3 linked regions of the Rattus norvegicus genome follow. The protein of the gene in region 3 interacts with the protein of the main gene of each other region in a biochemical or structural test. Links are inferred from orthologs where the notes say so. Each region holds a gene or a part of one and is shown on either strand. Other genes may lie near its edges.

Region 1 (5,392 bases), on a different chromosome or scaffold from region 3:
GAACACCTCCTGCGGCAGAACCCTCTGTTCTGACCACCAAAGAGTTGCAGGAGGCAGAGCTGGAGCCAGAACTGGACCTAGACCTAGACTTGGAGGCAGAGGAGGAGGGCCTGGCCACCTCCCTGGGTTCTGCTCTCAGCTTGCCTACGGGAACGCTCACCCGGCCACGTGGGGTAAGTCTTCTAACTGCACAAGATTCTGCTCCCTGGACCCAATGAATCCACTCAGAATCACCACTCATCAGCCTCCCCGCTAGGAATAGATTTCTTCCTTCGTTTTAACCCTTTTCTTTCCTTTCTCATCCTAGAGCCAGAGCCTTTTAAGTCCCTCATCTGGGTACATGCCCATGAACCAGAGCAGTCTCGGAGAGGCTTGTCTGGTAAGATGTGCTGGCTTGGGTGTTATGGTCTTGGGTTTATAGAAATGTGGAGATGTTTCGAATCTTGAAGGTTTACTCAGCGTCCGGCAATGGAAAAGGCCCTACCTGAACAGCTGCACCTTCCTCAAAAACTGGGCATGTATATAATCTGTGTAATCCTTATATTGCTTCCCGTGACTTTTCCTCCGTAGGATTCTGCGGTTTTGGGGGGTCGTGAACAGTTCTCCCGTCCCATCTCTCTGCACCCAATTCCACGGGGGCGTCCAGCATCAGAGTCATCAGAGGGCCACGTGACAGGCTCTGAGGCTGAACTCCAAGAGAAAGTGTCAGTGTGTAGGAGCCGAAGCCGGAGTCGGAGCCCGCGGCCTCGTGGGGACAGTGCCTACCATTCGCAGCGACACAGCCTGCTTACTCCTGTGACCCCGCTCTCCCCACCAGGGTTAGAGGAGGAGGACGGCAATGGCTACGTCATGCCAGATACACACCTCAGAGGTACGACTCTTCCAGCGATTTTCTCAAATCTTCCTCTAAGCTTTTTCTCCGAGCTCCCCTTAGTTCTTTTACCTTCTCTGATGACTCACTCACTCCCATTCCTTCTGGTTATTTCTACAAAGTTCTATACGTACTTAAGAGTTTCTCTCACCCGTAGGTGCGTCCTCCTCCCGGGAAGGCACCCTCTCGTCGGTAGGTCTCAGTTCTGTGTTGGGTACTGAGGAGGAAGATGAAGATGAGGAGTATGAATACATGAACCGGAAGAGAAGGGGTAGCCCTCCTCGGCCCCCCAGGCCTGGCTCCCTGGAAGAACTGGGTTACGAGTACATGGATGTGGGTTCAGACCTCAGTGCTTCTCTGGGCAGTACACAGAGCTGCCCGCTCCATCCCATGGCCATCGTGCCCTCTGCTGGCACAACTCCAGATGAAGACTATGAGTACATGAACCGGAGGCGTGGTGCGGGTGGCGCCGGAGGGGACTATGCAGCTATGGGGGCCTGCCCAGCAGCTGAGCAAGGGTACGAGGAGATGCGAGCTTTCCAGGGGCCTGGACATCACGCCCCCCATGTTCGTTATGCCCGCCTCAAAACTCTGCGTAGTTTAGAAGCCACCGACTCTGCCTTCGACAACCCCGATTACTGGCACAGCAGGCTTTTCCCCAAGGCTAATGCCCAGAGAACGTAAACTTCTGCTCCGTGACGCTCTGCGGGCGTGTGGCGGCAGCTAGTGCCTCTTCGAGGGTACCCCTTCCTCATCCCTCTCTCTGAGGTCCCACCTCCATTTCTCCAGTCCTGTACAATGCCATCCAGTTCCTAGAGACTTGTCAACATATCCCCGCAAACTTTGCGGTACGTAGCCCTGTGTGTCTCCTCTCCCAACCCCGTTCCTCCGCTTCCTCAGGGACTCTCCCTGGAGATATGAAGGATTGCTCTCTGGACCCTTTTGCTCAGGTTCTTACTCATGGGGATTAGACTCTTAAACGTCGCCTTTCCTCCCCATCAGACTCTGAAGAAGGGAAATAGAGGAAAGTACACATTTTATGAGACTTTTAATCCCAGGGGAAGATTTAGAAGCTTAAAGCTTTGAGGAATTAAAGTTAAGAGTAGATACCAGTAACTATGAACTGAACATTTACTGTGAGTCAGGCACCTTCATGCTGAACTCTGCCTACAGTGTCTCAATTATAATCTTTCCAGTTTTGTGAGATAGAACTGATCCCACGTTTCACCAATACAGACTCTTTTTGAGTGTTCCAAGATAGCCAGTAGGCCCCTGAATCTGTGAATAATATTGAATCCTGTGGTTTGTTTTTTTTTAACATTTTAGTTGGTGTACAAAACTAAGTTCTGTGTTTAGTAACTTTTCCATCTTAAATAAGAACTTATCGTTCTTTTTAGTTTGAGGTGCCACAGCAGAGGTTGTACTAATTTTTCTATTTTTCTAATTTAATGTATTTTTATTATAGACATTACCATATGATCCCCTCCCCCATGTGAAGTCAAGAACTTCCACCTTTTCTCAAAGAAAACGCTTCTCTTTGACATGTCTGAGTTGGCATGACTACTCCTGCACTTTGGGCCTGTTTTTAGATAAAATGGGTCTTTGAACACAAGTAGTATGGTATTGCTGTCACTCGATCTAATAAGCAGGTGGGTAATTGAGTACAGAGCAAGTAGGTTATTCAGTGTGGGCGCACTAGGCAGAGGGATGATTCATCTACCAAGTGGGACAGGAAAGGGTGGCTGTGACTTCATCGTGCTACTCAGAATGGTGTACGATGTAAACTGTAGGGATTATTTATTTCAGGAACTTATCATTCAGCATTTTCAGATTGCAGTTGATCACAGGTCACTAAGACTCTGGACAGACAGCAGAACCTCAGAAAATGGGGGACTGAGCCTTGAAGAAATAAAGCAACAGGTCCAGGATTCAAAATCTTCCCATTTCTCATACCTGTGCTTGTACTATAAAGTGTTGTGTAAAGCTGGGTCTCACTCTGTCAACTGGCCTGAAACCATGTAGCCCAGGATGGCCTAGGACTCCACACACAGCAACCCTAGCTTCACCTTTTGAAGGCTGTGGCTACCAGTCACATTTCTTTATGCACTGAATCAAGCAAATGCTACCAGCCACTTTTCCTCCAGCACCCAGGCCTCTCATCTCAGGAAGGAGTGGAGACTAGATAGAAGGACAAGTAACCAGACATGTTTGTGTAAGCCGCAGGCCATACATGTTGCAGATACATACTCCTTACAAGCCAATTCGCAAAGGTTCCAAGACTTGTATTTTAGGAGCTGTTCTCAACCAGTAATGAGATGGGATAGAAAGAGGATCCACCTTCAGACCTCAGTCTTCCTGGATGGGAACTGGGGGGAAAATGCTTCTTGTACCATTAAAGTTTTTTTTTTATACTGTCTAAAAATGTCAACTTTTTTGATTGTTTTTGTGTACTCCTGTGAAGTGAAAAATGCATGAGGCCGTTCCTTTTCTTGGCTTCTTAGCAATGGATGGCTTTCTCTGCTTCTGACACTCTGTAACAAGTAATGTTCCAAGGCTTTTATTTGTTATGTTTTTATTTTTATTTTTTAAAGATTTATTTATTTATTGTATACAAGTACACTGTAGCTGTCTTCAGACACACCGGAAGAGGGCATCAGATCTCATTACAGATGTTGTGAGCCACCATGTGGTTGCTGGGATTTGAACTCAGGACCTCTGAAAGAGCAGTCAGTGCTCTTAACCACTGAGCCATCTCTCCAGCCCCATTTGTTATGTTTTTAAGATTTTAATTATGTGTATGTGAGAGAGTGGGGGTTTGGGAATGGTGTTACGTTCACGGAGTGCAGTGCCCAAGGAAACCAACACAGTGCTAGAGTTACAGTCATGTAACTTGTGCTTGTGCATGGGTGCTGGGAACTCCCTTCCCGCTGCAAGAATACCAGGTTATAATAGTTGAACCATTTCTCCAGACCCTGTTTATATTCTAGTCCTTTTTACTGGATCGGTACAAAGAAGCAAAAGTGTAAACAATTAGAAACAAAACCCCCAAACTCCGGATTGTTTGGAGAAAATGAAAAACCCCAAGCCTTGGGTTGTTTTTTTATTTTTCCTACACAGGAAAACTTGAAATGACCTAGAACTGGTTGTCTTAAGAGTGACCATATCTCGGGGTTGGGGATTTAGCTCAGTGGTAGAGCGCTTGCCTAGGAAGTGCAAGGCCCTGGGTTCGGTCCCCAGCTCCAAAAAAAAAAAAAAAAAAAAAGAGTGACCATATCTCACTCCTAGTGAAGGAACATGTGGCCTAACTCTTTGGTGAGAAGACCTTCCTGGGAGTATAGAATGGGCAGGATTGTGGCTTCCTGCAGACAGACTCATAAAAGTAACCTGGATGAGACCTTGGAGTTTAGATTTAATTGATTCAACTTATTTAAGTGTGAGGGAAACAGTCATGAAAATTACTTCTTATGGGAGGAGTTTGAATTTACGTTGGAATCTAACAGTTAAAGTCTCCTGTCACATGACCTTAGTTTATCACTCAGTAAGTGAAACTTTTAAGAGTCAGCATTTTCTTAGACCTCTTCAAACCAACTATTATTTTTATATGAATCTCTAAATAAATTAGCTTTCCCCACAAGATAAAGATATAAACCAGCTTCTTGGTATAAATGAAATTTTATGTATTTATTTATAAACAATTTCAATGTATAACTTGAGAATTCTGAAGTTTCCTCCAAATAAAAGAACATGCATATTGAAATGAAAAAAAAAAAAGTGACCATATCTGGGCTGGAGAGATGGCTCAGCGGTTAAGAGCACCCGACTACTCTTCCAGAGGTCCTGAGTTCAATTCCCAGCAACCACATGGTGGCTCACAACCATCTGTAAAGAGATCAGATGCTCTCTTCTGGTGTATCTGAAGACAGCTACAGTGTACTTATATATAATAAATGAATAAATCTTTAAAAAAAAAAAGAGTGACCATATCCCTCCTAAACATTTCCCTTAGATGCCCCCATCAAAACTCATGGTTAGAACAATAGTGCCATTTTATTCTAGTCTAGTAGGAAGCCTGGCTTTCATATTAGCAGGCCACGGTACACAATCACTCAGACTGTCCAGTTAGTGCTCACTCCTTGCATGCACCCTAGGACTTCCACCTCCACTCAGCCCCTCCCTGTTCTCCCGGCACAGGAGGATTTGACCAGCCATGCCGGTCGCACCTGCCGACTCCGGAATCCGAGGCTACGCGCACCGGACGACCGCCCAAGGAGTACACACCTTGACCCTGATCCTATAGCTCCACCCGGCTCCACCCTACCCAGCGGCCTCTCAACCCTTTTCTCCGCGTAGCTCCGCCCCACCTCGCTTGGCCCGCCCCTCGCTGTTAAGAGCTCTGGGTCGGCGCTCTCTTGAATGAGAGGTTTTTCCCGGAGACACCACGCTTTCCTTCAACCTTCCCAACGGCTCCGCCTTCCCGCCGGAGCCAGACTCTTCCCAGCGTGCCCGGCGACTCCGGCGTGC
Region 2 (6,491 bases), about 12 Mb from region 3:
CACCTATTCCAGCATGGAAAGACCCAAGTCTCTTAAGAAAGATGGTAATCAATTCATGAGTTTCCTTTGATCTTATTTTCTCTTAACGATCCCATCACTCCTCAATACCATTACATTAGGATTTAACATGAGTTCTGGTGGGATAAATTGTACTCAACACAGCTGTTGATGGCTCCCATTCACGGAGAAGGAAGAATGAAGGCCTGTAATGATCACTGGGAGGGAGAACTGCTCTAACTTTGTTTGGTTCTGATGGTGGTGTTATCTCCTTCATAGAAATCCATGAAGAAGACGATGGTGGCTGGTCATCCTTTGTGAGTATGGCTTGGGCTAAATCACCCTTGTATATATGGCCAGAATGGCTGTACATTGGTCTTAATACTAGAAAAGGAGCAGTCTCCTTCCACCAACAAGGCATTGAAACATCCCATTTCAGGTCCCAGGAAAGGGCCAAAGTAAAATATGTCCAGCATTGGAAGCCCAAAGGTTTCTCTCTCTACTACTCAGCTCTGCTTCTGTGGCCTAGAAGCAGCCATGGGCAGCGAGCAAATGAGTGGGCTCCCTGATGAATACAGAAGTGGGCTGTAACTCACTGCCACACCATTTATCTTCACAACCATACCCAATCACAACAGCTATCCATTCCTTTCTACTATCCTTACTAGAAATCTATGCTACTGTAACTCTTCTCATGGAGTTAAGTCACCGCTGATAACGCATAGGGGAAAGCATTGCAGAATGGAGTGTTAACACCAGAGAGGTGCCCATGCCGATTTTACATGGGAAGGGTCATGGTGACAACACCTTTCAGAGTCCAATGGACTATGCATCTTCTTTCCTCAAACTACACATGGTCACCATGCACAAAGATAGACAGGGGCTAAAAAATTCTGTGATGGAAGAGAGAGCTGGAGGGATGTGCCTTGTGCAAAGTTCTTTGTCAGGTAAAGGCAGATCTGGGACCCAGGCTGTCCAACCCTCGGTCTAAGTGGTCTTTCTGGCAAGTGGCCACCTTTAGGTCTTTTAAAAACCATGCACTGAGTGTCCTGTGTCCTATTGGCATTCCAGTAAATGAAAGTACTTCATCTGAAAGAAAATGGTTTGCAAGTCTGTTTTTTATTTTAAATATGGGAAAGCAAAGGAATGCAACAGATTTATTTTGTAAAAAAGGAACAAGAGAACTAGTTTCTCCAGATGTGTTTGTGCTTCAGCAGCTGGATCCCTGCCAAAGCTCCTCTTAAGTCTTCCCATGCTCAGCCAGAGACTAGTCTTCAGTTCTGTCCCCAAAGCACGAGTTTCTAGTCTCTGGAGGCCATCACAGACAGATCTGCCGGGAGGATGCTGGGGTCCCGGGCAGAGATCTCATAGGTTCATGCTGTAAAATGTTGCCTTGTGACACCCGTATTAGCTGTGACGTCCCTCGACTGTGTTGACAGGAAGATGACTATGAAAGTCCCAATGACGACGATCCAGATGGGGAGGATGATGGTGACTATGAGTCCCCTAACGAGGAGGAAGAGACGCTAGTGGACGATGCTGCTGACTATGAGCCGCCACCCTCCAACGATGAGGAGGCTCTGCAGAACTCCATCCTGCCTGCCAAGCCTTTCCCCAACACCAACTCCATGTACATTGGTAAGGGTCTCGTCGCAGCCCGCTAGTCCTGCCAGCCCTGGGAGAAGCCGCCCATTGAGCTTCTCTGGGTGCTGATTCCTGTCAGCTTCTGAAAAACTGGTGGCTTGAGGCCAGAGACTCTGCCTCTCTGGCTGTTTCCTTATGAGTAATACAGGATAATACTAGAACAGAGGACAAAGGCTTGATGGGAAGAGGGTGGTTATGTGGCACCGCCATCCACAGAAGGTCATAAGAAATGTGAGGGCACTCAGAGGGATTGGTTCTGCCTTTACAATGAGACAGACTTTAGGATGTTCCTCATTTACCTGCCGTCCTGCACTCACATGTTCTTCCTCATTCATTCATTCATGAAGTCACGAATGCTTCTCCTCTCCTGTTATGAGCCAGACACCATGTGCTGGAATCTACCAGGAAGGAAGATGCACCTTTATCCGGTGGGAATTACTTTCTAGAAGAGGAGGTAACAGAAAATGAGCATAGGCACACTCGGTTTCCTCTGCATCCAGGGGTCAATGTGTCTCACCCTGGGAGCTGTGTTGTACTCTGCTTCAGACTGCGCCCCACCACCTGACTTTGTGTATTGAGGGATAGAACATGAAAGCTAACAGGCAGGGAGCTTCAGCCATCACTGAGGCTATTCCAGACAGAGCAGAAAAGGGAAACCAGGCTGGTGAGTATCTCTAGGTGCCTGTCACAGAGACATGGAGTGAGCATGACGGACCTCATCCTTGAGCACTCCTGGTGGAGTGGGTGAGGCGACACTAAGCTAATGCATGACACTAAGCTAATGCATCCTGTCACTCCATTAGGCCAGCATAATAAACGGGTTTGCTCCTTCAGGGTGTGGTATTTGAGCGACAGTCTTCGGCTGATATTAAATACTGAATGGCAAATGAGGAAGGTTTGGTTAAATGACGCCGAACAGGGTAGGGGAGGAACATTTGAAGCACATAAAACGGCAGTGCAGAGGCCCTGAGGTCCCAAGGAACATGGGCTATCCGAGGAGCTGAAAGGCAGCCTGTGGTATGGATACCAGACTTCCCCTTACCCCTTGCCCGAACCCCCTTCCTTCTGGAAGGGAAATGATATTCTTCATAGGGCTAACAAAGGGGTAGATCAAGTCCACAACAGCCTTTCCAGTCTGAAGTTCCAGACTCCTTCCTCAATCTTCCCCAAACCAACAGTTAGTCAGTCTGTTAGTTGGGGTTTCTGCAGCTTGGATAAGCCTCCAGGGCCAAAAGTACAGGATGCTAGAGGCACTTGCTACTCCTGCCTCGCTGTCCGGTGCTGGCCTTTCCCACCCAAAGGGGTAAGAAATCCCAAACTTGTCAAACTGGTTCTGGGAAGTTCTGTGGCAATCGGAATAATGTGTCTGTCTAGGGCGAGACCATGGGCTGTTTAATTTGGTAACAGAATTGAGAGCCAGCCCCTCCCTGTAAGGGAGGGGACAGACAAAGGACGAAATAGGAGAACATAGCAGCCCAGAGTACCTGTGAAGGGAAGGAAGCGACAGAGTGAGGAGCTCATGAGGGTGGCAGCGAACTTAATCCTGTGCAGTGTGAGCATATGTATGCAGGCATGCACACACGTGTCTCTGTGCATGCTTAAGTGTCAGCATACACTCATGTTTCACGGCATAGGTACATGCATGTGCATGTTGAATACACACACTTGTGCTCTATATTTGCAAATGTGCACATATATGCACAGGGATCATGTGTGCATGCACATGAACCCTTGCTCGTCCACACATGTAGAATTTGTATCTGAAAACACTGGGGTAATTCTCTAGAGGCTTCCTTTGGCTAGAGGTGTCTCAGATATTACCTGTTTGTGTGTAAGGTACTGTGGGAGTTATTCCAATGTATAAGAAGACTTAAACCAAATCTGCAGGATGAGGGACAGATCTGGGCCAAGGACTTCCTGCCTCCTGTAGGACCCAGGCTGGGTCTGACTATATGTCAAATTCATGCTGGTACCGGTGGAGATCTGGAGGAGGCTCCTGACACCTCAAGCTATAGTCAGGCACAACATGTTCTAGAAGAAGCCTAATTCAAACGTTTTAATTTTTTCTCTTTTCGTTTTTTTTCTTTCTTTCTTGGTTTTTGTTTGTTTGTTTTTGTTTTTCGAGACAAAGTTTCTCTGTGTAGCCCTGGCTGTCTTAGAACTAGCTCTGTAGGCCAGGCTAACCTTGAACTCAGAGATCCACCTACCTCTGCTTCCCCGGTGGTATTAAACGGCTCTCCTTTCTTTTTAATATTGTGTTTCCACAGACCGGCCTCCCACCGGCAAGGTCTCCCAGCAGCCTCCGGTGCCCCCGCAGAGACCAATGGCCGCCCTCCCTCCCCTGCCAACAGGCCGGAATCACTCGGTAAGCCTCTTCCCTTTCTTCCAGGCCGCTTTGTTTCCACTACAATTCGTTCTTCCGGTAGACAGAAAAGGAACTAAGCATCTTGACCTAATTCTAAGTTTGTAAGAGGCGGTTATGACAGGAAAAATGCACACCCTCACGTTCCGCTCAGTAGTTCAATTTTGTGATGACATAGAAGCAGTTTCTATGTATAGCATAATGTTTATTGGCAGTTTTTTTGCACCAAAAACAATATAAACTGCGTGTATAATGAGATACTCCCCTTCTCCAATATCATTGTGCTACTTCCGCTATTTAACTGTGGGAGAACCAAGTCTGGCCTGGCATCTTCCGGTGTTGCCTAGACTCTCGAGGTAGGCCTCCCCGTGCAAGCAGCGCTGCGCCACCTGCTGGCAAGGTCAAGAACTTCCAGGGATGAACGCCTTCAGACCACAAGATTTCCAACTCGGTGAAGCCCATGAGAGAAACAGTGGCACCGAGCCCCACTTTCCCTTTTCATTCAGCATTATAGTCCAGCTCCTATGGAGGTTACATGAAGCTCAGTCTAAAGGAGTCATCGATGTGCTCTTTCCGCAAGGGGCCAGGACAGAGCTAGGAGGGGAGATTGTGGTGGGAGGAAAGGCATTTTGCTTTTGAAATCAGACGGCTGGCACCTCCACCACTGGGAGGCAGGCTTTGCCTATCATGTCAACAGATACTGATGGGGCTACTACTTCACACCAGTGTCCTCTGTGCCGGGGGAAGAACACGGAACAGTACAGAATGTTCCGACTTTCATACCGTGTTGCTATCAACAAGCACACAGATGTAGAAATGACCTGGGTATGTGGTTTAGGAAGACAGGGGGCCGAGTAATATGACAGAGTGTACAGAGCTGACACCGAGCTGGCACAGGACGAGCCAGTCATAGGGAACGCAGAAGGAACATCCCAGGCAGAGGAAACATAGGCACAGAGATGTTCACGAGTAGGTATGAGCTTTGGGTTTTGTGAGAACTGTAAGGAGATCCTTATTCGGGGACCATGGAGCATTAGCGAGGAACATAGAAATGGCTTCAAATGGTGGGCAGGGCATCTACTGTGGGGCTTCATGGGGGTGGGGGGATGGGGGATAGGGGTAGGGGTGGTAGGGGTGGTGGTGGAGGTGGTGGTGGTGGTGGTGATGGTGGTGTCATATTTCACTTCTGATGTGACTAGAACCTTGGAGGGCTTGGTAGGGAAGTTTCTGCTTGGTTCTTTGCCATGCAAAAGGCTGAAGCATGAGAGAGTGAGGAAGTTCAGAGGGGCACGACCTCAGCAACTCAGCTGACAGCTAGCTGCGGGACAGACCTGGAGATGGAGAAAAGGGATCCAGATACCTTTGGAGAGGGAAAAGTGGGAAAATTTCCAAACATTTGGACTGGGTTATTATTATTTTTTTTAATTCCATGCTGCCACTGTCTCCGGCCCAGCCCAACCATGAAGAACCTAGCAGAAATCGGAACCATAAAACAGCAAAGCGTATGTACAGGGTGCTTTCTGCACCCCCCCCAGCCCACCCACCCAATTCCCAGCCGGATGCTTTCTTTCTTTTTTAACTGACCTCAGCTTTCTCCACTCCAGTGCCTGCTCCATCAATAGACAGAAGCACAAAACCTCCCCTGGACCGCTCATTGGCTCCTCCTCTTGACCGAGAGCCCTTACTGGGTTGGTATTGCTCATATTTTATGCACAATAATAATGGCTACGTTTATAGAGTGCTAAGCACACACATATTATACACACACATACACATACATACACACACACACGATCTTGTTTTACTACTGGCACAATACTGTAAATTCATGAGAAACATCCTCATTTTACAGAGGAAGAAACAGAGGCACAAAGCAATAACTTTCCAACATCCCTCAGTGAGCAAATGAGGAAGACAGAGACCCAAAACCAGATCAGCCTGGTGCCTGAACCCCTGCTTTTAGTCCCTGGGCTGTGCCTGCTCCACCAGGCCTGTAAGCTGTGTTCACTTTGACCAAGACAGGGCAGGATGGAACCCAGTATTCAAGGGAAAAAGGGGCTGAGAGGCAAGAGCACCAGAAGAGCTGTAGTCAGCTGTTTTGGTCGATACTTATCATTTTGCTGACCCAGGGGATGTTGCGTTTTTAGGCCACAGTCTCCTGGCAAGGAGGAAACATTTGCTAAAACATTTGGATATCAAAATTGCCTTTTGCAGTGGGTGTGTACAGTTGATAAAACACTATGAACTTTTTGCACAATTTACTCATGGTTCCAGCTCCCCTTACGTAGAGCTATTCTTTAATTCAACTTAGCTACAACTTATGGAGCAGCTAGGATGGAGCAGGTGCTTTACATCCTTGGGCCAAGTCAGTGAAGGGGTGTGTTCTCTCCACCTCTCAGACGACAGAAGGTTAGAGAGGCTAAATAGCATGCCCTGTTTTGTATAGGTGGGTTAAGACTTGAACCCATATCTTTCTGACTTTTGCACT
Region 3 (6,491 bases):
TGAGCCCCATCCCTGGGACCCACAGGCAGAAGGTGAGAACTGACCCTTGCAAGTTGTCCTCTGACCTACCTAGGTGCATACTAACAGTGTACGCCACCCTCGGGGCTGCATACACACACACATGAAATAAATAAATAATGTGATTTAAGTGACACTAGTAAGGGCTGGAGAGATGGATCAGTGGTTAAGAGCACTTGCTGGGATCAGGGTTTGATTCCCAGCCCCTTGGGGCTGCTCGCAACCATCTGAAACTACAGTCCCAGGGGTTCTGAAGTCCTCTTCTGTTCGCTGTGGAACTTCGTAAGTAGGGTGCACAGACACGTGTATAGGCACAACACCCGCACGCATAGTTTTTTAAGTAAAAGCATTAAGGAAATTGCTAAGAGAATGAAAAGGTAAACTGTAGGCTTGGAGAACACATTTGCAAAGCATATAATGATAAGGAACCCTTCTAAAGCCAACGATAGGAAATAAACAACCTGAGCGTTTCACTAAGATTACAGATGGCACACAAACAAAAAGAGGCGCAGCACGGCCAGCCACTAAAGAAATGGCAGATGAGACAACATAAAATATAATCTCCCCCTCCTCTGTAGGAATGGTGATGTCCAGCATAACCAGTACTGGTGCGTATGAGACGCAGCAGGGCCGGGCATGGGGGTGTACACCTTTAATTCCTGCACTTAGGAGGCAGAAGCAGAGACAGGTGTATCTCTGTGGGTTCAGGGCCTGGTCCACACAGTGAGTTCCAGGAAAGCTGGGTCTATGCAGTACCAACCAAACCAACAAACCAATAAAAACAAAAGCACCAGAATCCATCATTACTGCTAAGAATGGGCAAAAGACTTAGGAACACAACCCGACAGCGTTTAGCTTCTTAAATCAACTAAACAGTGTTAACATATGTTCCAGCAGCCACTCCTAGGCATTTACCCAACCGAGTTGAAAATTTATGTCCGTTAGATTCACTTTAATAGATTCACATGCAGTAAATGCTTATAGCAGGTTTTCTCATAATTGCTGGAAACTGAGAGCTCCTTTTAGTAAGCACATGAATAAACCAACTATGGTATGTCCATACAAATGGAGTACTACTCAACAATAAAAAAGAAATAAACAATAAAAGCCAAGGAACCACATTGATAACCACACACTGAAAGATCATACTGTACTCCCTATGTACGTATAGTTAAAACATGATTATATGCAGAAACATGTACAAAGCCCTGCCTGTTTATTATGGTCTTCCTTGATCCCCATCCTTGTAGGTCATGTCCTTTCTCGCTTGATGCGGACCCTGAAAGTGTGTGTTACGATCCAGGGGGAATCTCCCTGTGTACTGACCTCTTTCCAGCAGTGATTCATGACCTGGTAGACATGAGGGGAGGCCAGGCGGGGCTTGTATAACCGAAAGCCAGTGCTGATGTCTTCCACGACCTCTGAATTGCTTCGGTTTTCATATGGGATTTTGCCTTCGCTGAAGACTTCCCACATCAGTACACCTAGAAGCAGCAGTGAACAGAAAAACAGCTAGGGGGAAGGTGCACATGTACCAGAGAGACTCACGCCCACAAGCAACAGGGCCCTTGGAGTGAGTATTAAGTCTACCCCTCTAGACGTCTGGAAGTGCAGTATCAGGCCTTCCCTTAATTTTTTTCATTGTTCTATTTTAAAATATTATTTTACTCTCTCTCTCTCTCTCTCTCTCTCTCTCTCTGTGTGTGTGTGTGTGTGTGTGTGTGTGTGTGTGTGTGTATGAATGATCGCCATGTGTGTGCATGTGCTTGAGGAGTCTAGAAAAGGCCACTAGTTCTTCTGGAGAGATTCTGAGGTATATACAAAGCAAATGGATTTATGTCTAGACTTCAGTTTCATTCCCAAGCTCTCTTGCTCTCTCTCTCTCCTACCCCACACCGTAGCTATAAATACCTTTACGTATATATACATGCAAATATTCCAAACCTAAAGTCTAAACCATTTGTGGTGTCAGGCATTTCATAGACAGAATCTTAACTTGTTTGTAGACACTGAGGGGAAAGCATCTTCCCACAGTATGTTTCTTCACTCCTTCATCCATATACAAGCTGCCTCAGCTTTGTCTTTCTCGTGTACTGACAGATCACAGACTCAGAAAAAAAATGGAGGTTGCTGGTGTCCTGACCAGAGGGGTAAAACTACAGGACTGGAGGATGGAGTTCCCCAAAGTTTGATTCTCAAATACCCACTAAGAGCCAGCTCCTACACTTGTTCGAATGGGAGACTTCTGAACCTCACCCTAATACCCTCCTCCTGGGGTCACTAACCTGCAGGCTCCTCTGAGATGCCCAAAGACCTGGAAATCAGAATCTGACTGTGAGGAAGACTGTTCAGTGTCCCAAGGTGCTAGGATTTCTAGTAAGGTGTCTTCTGAAGTGAGTTGTTGGGGCTACTGGGTATTGACTGCTTTAACGTGAACCCTCTGAGGCATGAAGAGGCAGAGTTTATAGAGGCTGCTGACTCGCTCAATAAAAGCAATGGGATAAATCACACAGACTGCGTTTATGACAAAACCCACAAGGCTGAGCCAGGCAGGAGGCTCGTAGCCTGCAGGTTGCTGTGGTTTGCACATACTACTGTCTGTCTTTCTCTTTTCTTCCTCTTTCTGTCGGTCCACCTGTCTATCTTCCCATCTGCCTGTCCGCCTATCTGTCTTTTTTCTCTGAGACAGGATTTCTCTGTGTAAAAGCCCTGGCTGTCCTGGAACTCTCTCTGTAGACCATGCTGCCCTGGAACTCAGAGATCTGCCTCTGCCTCCCCCCGTGTTATGCGCCAGTGTGCCCTGCTGCTCCTACCTGTTTCTGTTCTACCCCTGTCTCTCAACCTCATTCCTGGACTCTTTTCAAATCACACATCTCAGGAAGGGATGCACTTTAGACTTCTGGAAAACCCAGTAGACTATCCTCTGGTTGACACGCCAAGACTTCCCAAACTCCCTTCTGCAATGTGCTGGTGAAAGTGCGTATAGCTCACACTCTAAACATCTTTGTTGGGTGCCACCTTGGCAGTGTCCGTGGCTCTATAACCCACAGAGAGATAGCCACGAGTTGTCTCTGGCCTTCTTCTATACTTGTGGACAGTTGTGCAAGGAAGACACCAGAACAATTGCCTCCAAATTCATCCTGTAACTTCTACCCTGTTAACAGTAACAGCCAAGCCCAGAGGTGTGTGTGTGTGTGTGTGTGTGTGTGTGTGTGTGTGTGTGTGTGTGTTGAACTAAGGAACAGAGCAGAAAGATTCATAATTAACAAGTTCTGGACTCGTGGGAATAGGGCATTCTAAAGTGAAGATCGCAGCACCGATTCTTACCCTGGGAGACTTGATCTCCCATGCTCGTGCCACTGAGTTTGTGCCCTGGAAAACCTTTCACATAGAATAGCAAGGTCAACCCAAAGCAGTTTCTCTCCGAAGTGCCATCTGTACAGTCATCATATTGGAGCGGCTATTTGGTACACTTTCATGCACACTGTTTGTGTGCACAAATTGTGAGTTAGACTGACGTCAAACTCAGCAAGTTATTTAACCTTTCCCACATGTTAATGTCATTCATTCCCACCAACTGTTACTGCTGTCTTTGTTCTCCCTGTAACTCAGGAACTCTTGCTATCTCTGGATGTAGTTGAGTTTTCATACTTTCTCGTCCCTGCCAGGGACACAGCTTCATGAATATTTGAATGGAGACATTTGTCCAAGAGTTACTTCTAGAAGGCCTTTCCAGAGCGTACTGGGTAAAATGGACCCTTCCCCCGCCCTAAATACTCTCTACCAATGCTGCTTTCCTTGAGTCACAGCACTCACGGACCCAAACTCCACTTCAGTGACAGTCATCTGTCTCCTCTCCCCAAAAGTTTAGCTTCAAGAGGATAGAAGTCTCTTCTGCCCTGTGCCCTCCTGCTTCTCAGCCCCTGAGTAGCCCAGGAGTGTAACAGACACTCAGGAAACCATGGTGAAGTGACAAGAGCTTACGGAGGATTGAGTATGGGAATGTTGGACCCAGTAAGGTCCTGCTTTCAGCTTCATATTCCAATCTCCCGACAACTCCAGCTTTCCAGCTCACAGTAGCTACCCCAAGTCTCCTTTTCCATTATTATTTTTAATTTCTTAGCCGTTCTAAAGATATCTAGAGATAAAGGCAGCAAAAAGAGGCTGCTCGGACATTTCAGGCTGTTCTCACGCAGGCCCTCGTGGGTTCTTTCTCCACACAGGGGTCAGAACAAAGTAGACTTGTTTGCATTTGAGAAGGAAACAGCTGGTGCACAGTTCCAGATCACACAGGGGCGGGCTCAGGGTGAAACTTACCAAATGACCACACATCTGACTTGCTGCTGTAGCGGCTGAAGGAGAACACTTCTGGGGATGCCCACTTCACTGGGAATTTGGTGCCCGTGGAGCTGGTATATTGATCATCAAGGACAAACCTGGGAAGAGGCGAGGAAGAGGTCAGAACAGTGCAGGGCTGAGTCTCCTTCCTGACGGCAGCTGATCCCACACCCTTCCATTACCTTGTCATGCCGAAGTCGGACACCTTGATGACCTGGTTTTCTCCCACCAAACAGTTCCTGGCGGCCTAGATCAGAGACAGGTAGGCAAATGAGAAATAAAGTCGTGGGTGGTGAGCCAGGAGAGGAAGGGACTCCTGTCACTAGGCTTTGTTTCTCTGTGTTGCTGTACAAAGTCACTCAGAGCCTTACAGATGTTGAGCATCACCGACAGCCTGCAGAGCTAGCTGGAAACTCAGCGAGTTTGCCGAGTGTGCAAGCCCTTTTATCAGGATGAGGAGTTTATTTTCTAATTATTAGAGAGACCCAGCCTTGTGCAGCCAGTAATTCACTGGAATGCAACCTGACAGGGTAGGCAGTGCTGACATTGGGGCTGCCTGCAGTGCCTCCCAAGCGATTAATATGAAAGTGATTAATAAGAAGGCCAATCCCCTTAATGCTATCCTTAGTGGGGAGAGTACCTGGCCCCTGTCAGTATCCTTTAGGTAGTCCATGAAGAGTCCTGGGAGACAAGAGAACAGGTGGGTGGGTCTCATACTGAAAAGTACTTCCCTGTCCAACTGGGGGCTCACATGACTACTCATGATCCCTGCCTGTAAGAGGTTCCCAGGCTGCCCCTCAGGTTTGGGTGCAGCTTTGGTAGAAAAACAGTGCTTCAGCCCAAGTGCCCATCAATGAGAGAAGGGGTAAAGAAAAGGTGATGTGTATAGACATGGATTGGGGTGAGGGGGTGGAGGGGAGGGTACTCAGCCACAAGGAGGAATGAAATGATGCGTTTTGGGGGAAGTGGGATGGAACTGGGGAACATCTGGTTAAGTGAAATTGCTACACTTAAGGACAAACAGCATGGGTCATTTTTCCTCACACATGAGATCTAGATTAAAAATGAGTGAATGAATGAATGAATGAATGAATGAAGCATGCAGGTAGAAGTGGAAGTGTCTGTGAAGAGGAAGGGAGCCATTGAGATCAGGGACAAGCGATGGTGAGGAAGAGTTTGAATACGATCAAAGCATAGGAGGCATACATGGGAAGAAGGCATAAGGAAACCATCACTTCGGACACTCAGCATATGCAAACAATAGGTTTTACAAAGTGAAAGTGTTCTGGCCTATCCCCTTCACTTTTACAGGGGGAAACTGAGGCACAGAGAAGGGAGTTAGGAGTAGTTGTATGTTGGAAGAATGTGGATTGAAACTCTGAGGGCACATGTTCGAGGAATGGCCCGGTGTAGTTCAGATCTGAGCACTGGAAACATTTCCCTATCAGGGGCCACCTGAAGTGGGTGGAGCAGGAAGAGGTCGAGAGGAGGGAAGGCTGTGTGGGACACGCTACTTAGTGATGCTCCCTCAGATTTGGTAGCATTGCATTACAGGGGAATATGCATTCCTTTGCCCTGTTCTTGCAGGTGTTGGCCCCCTGCATTTGCTCATACCAGGTCTCTGTGGATGACACACGCTTTTTCTAGGTAGGCCATGCCCTCACACACGTCCAGGCACATGCCCAGCAGGGTCTCTGCAGCAAAGAGACCCCGCTGACTTCGAAGGTAATCCGATAGGCAGCCGTGCTCCATGAACTCAAACACCAGGCAGATGGGGGCTTGCTCCAAGCACACCCCATAGAGCTGCACCAGCTTGGGGTGAGAGAGTTTCCTGGAAGAAAAAGGCAAGAGATGAGATGACCTAAATCCAGTATCCCAAGAGTGCTGGGCATATGATGGCACGTCACTTCACCCAATTCATGGTTCTGAGAAGAGAACCAAACCTCACACCCAAACTAAAAAGGGTCGTGGGAGCCAAGGTCTGGGCATATCAGAGAGTCACCTGGTATGAATGAAGATGGATAGAGGCCAGTGTGGGCCACAGCAGAGATGGGTGGAAGAGGAGACCAGAGAGCCAGACATATAGCAGGTCTTGTAGATCATGCTGAAGTCTGTCTGTCTGTTCCTCTCCTTCC

What was found.
Region 1: the proteins of Itk (region 3) and Erbb3 form a complex in vitro, tested with the Homo sapiens proteins (2 studies listed by BioGRID and IntAct, with this or other methods). The link is inferred for Rattus norvegicus from reciprocal best matches to the Homo sapiens genes ITK and ERBB3.
Region 2: the proteins of Itk (region 3) and Lcp2 form a complex in vitro, tested with the Homo sapiens proteins (2 studies listed by BioGRID, with this or other methods). The link is inferred for Rattus norvegicus from reciprocal best matches to the Homo sapiens genes ITK and LCP2.

What each region holds. Positions count from the first base shown.
Region 1 is NC_086025.1:1,576,980-1,582,371, reverse strand, and holds the end of Erbb3 (receptor tyrosine-protein kinase erbB-3), read left to right. Parts: coding exon 1-173; intron 174-307; coding exon 308-379; intron 380-570; coding exon 571-871; intron 872-1,028; coding exon 1,029-1,555; 3' UTR 1,556-3,293; downstream 3,294-5,392. UniProt on the Homo sapiens protein: Tyrosine-protein kinase that plays an essential role as cell surface receptor for neuregulins.
Region 2 is NC_086028.1:19,168,882-19,175,372, forward strand, and holds part of Lcp2 (lymphocyte cytosolic protein 2), read left to right. Parts: intron 1-276; coding exon 277-314; intron 315-1,436; coding exon 1,437-1,635; exon of another isoform or gene 1,636-2,083; intron 2,084-3,848; exon of another isoform or gene 3,849-3,908; coding exon 3,909-4,006; exon of another isoform or gene 4,007-5,170; intron 5,171-5,456; coding exon 5,457-5,505; intron 5,506-5,607; coding exon 5,608-5,691; intron 5,692-6,491. UniProt on the Homo sapiens protein: Adapter protein primarily involved in signaling pathways within T-cells, as well as other immune cells such as platelets, mast cells, and natural killer (NK) cells.
Region 3 is NC_086028.1:31,259,558-31,266,048, forward strand, and holds part of Itk (tyrosine-protein kinase ITK/TSK), read right to left. Parts: intron 6,188-6,491; coding exon 5,971-6,187; intron 4,604-5,970; coding exon 4,539-4,603; intron 4,455-4,538; coding exon 4,336-4,454; intron 1,503-4,335; coding exon 1,345-1,502; intron 1-1,344. UniProt on the Homo sapiens protein: Tyrosine kinase that plays an essential role in regulation of the adaptive immune response. Regulates the development, function and differentiation of conventional T-cells and nonconventional NKT-cells.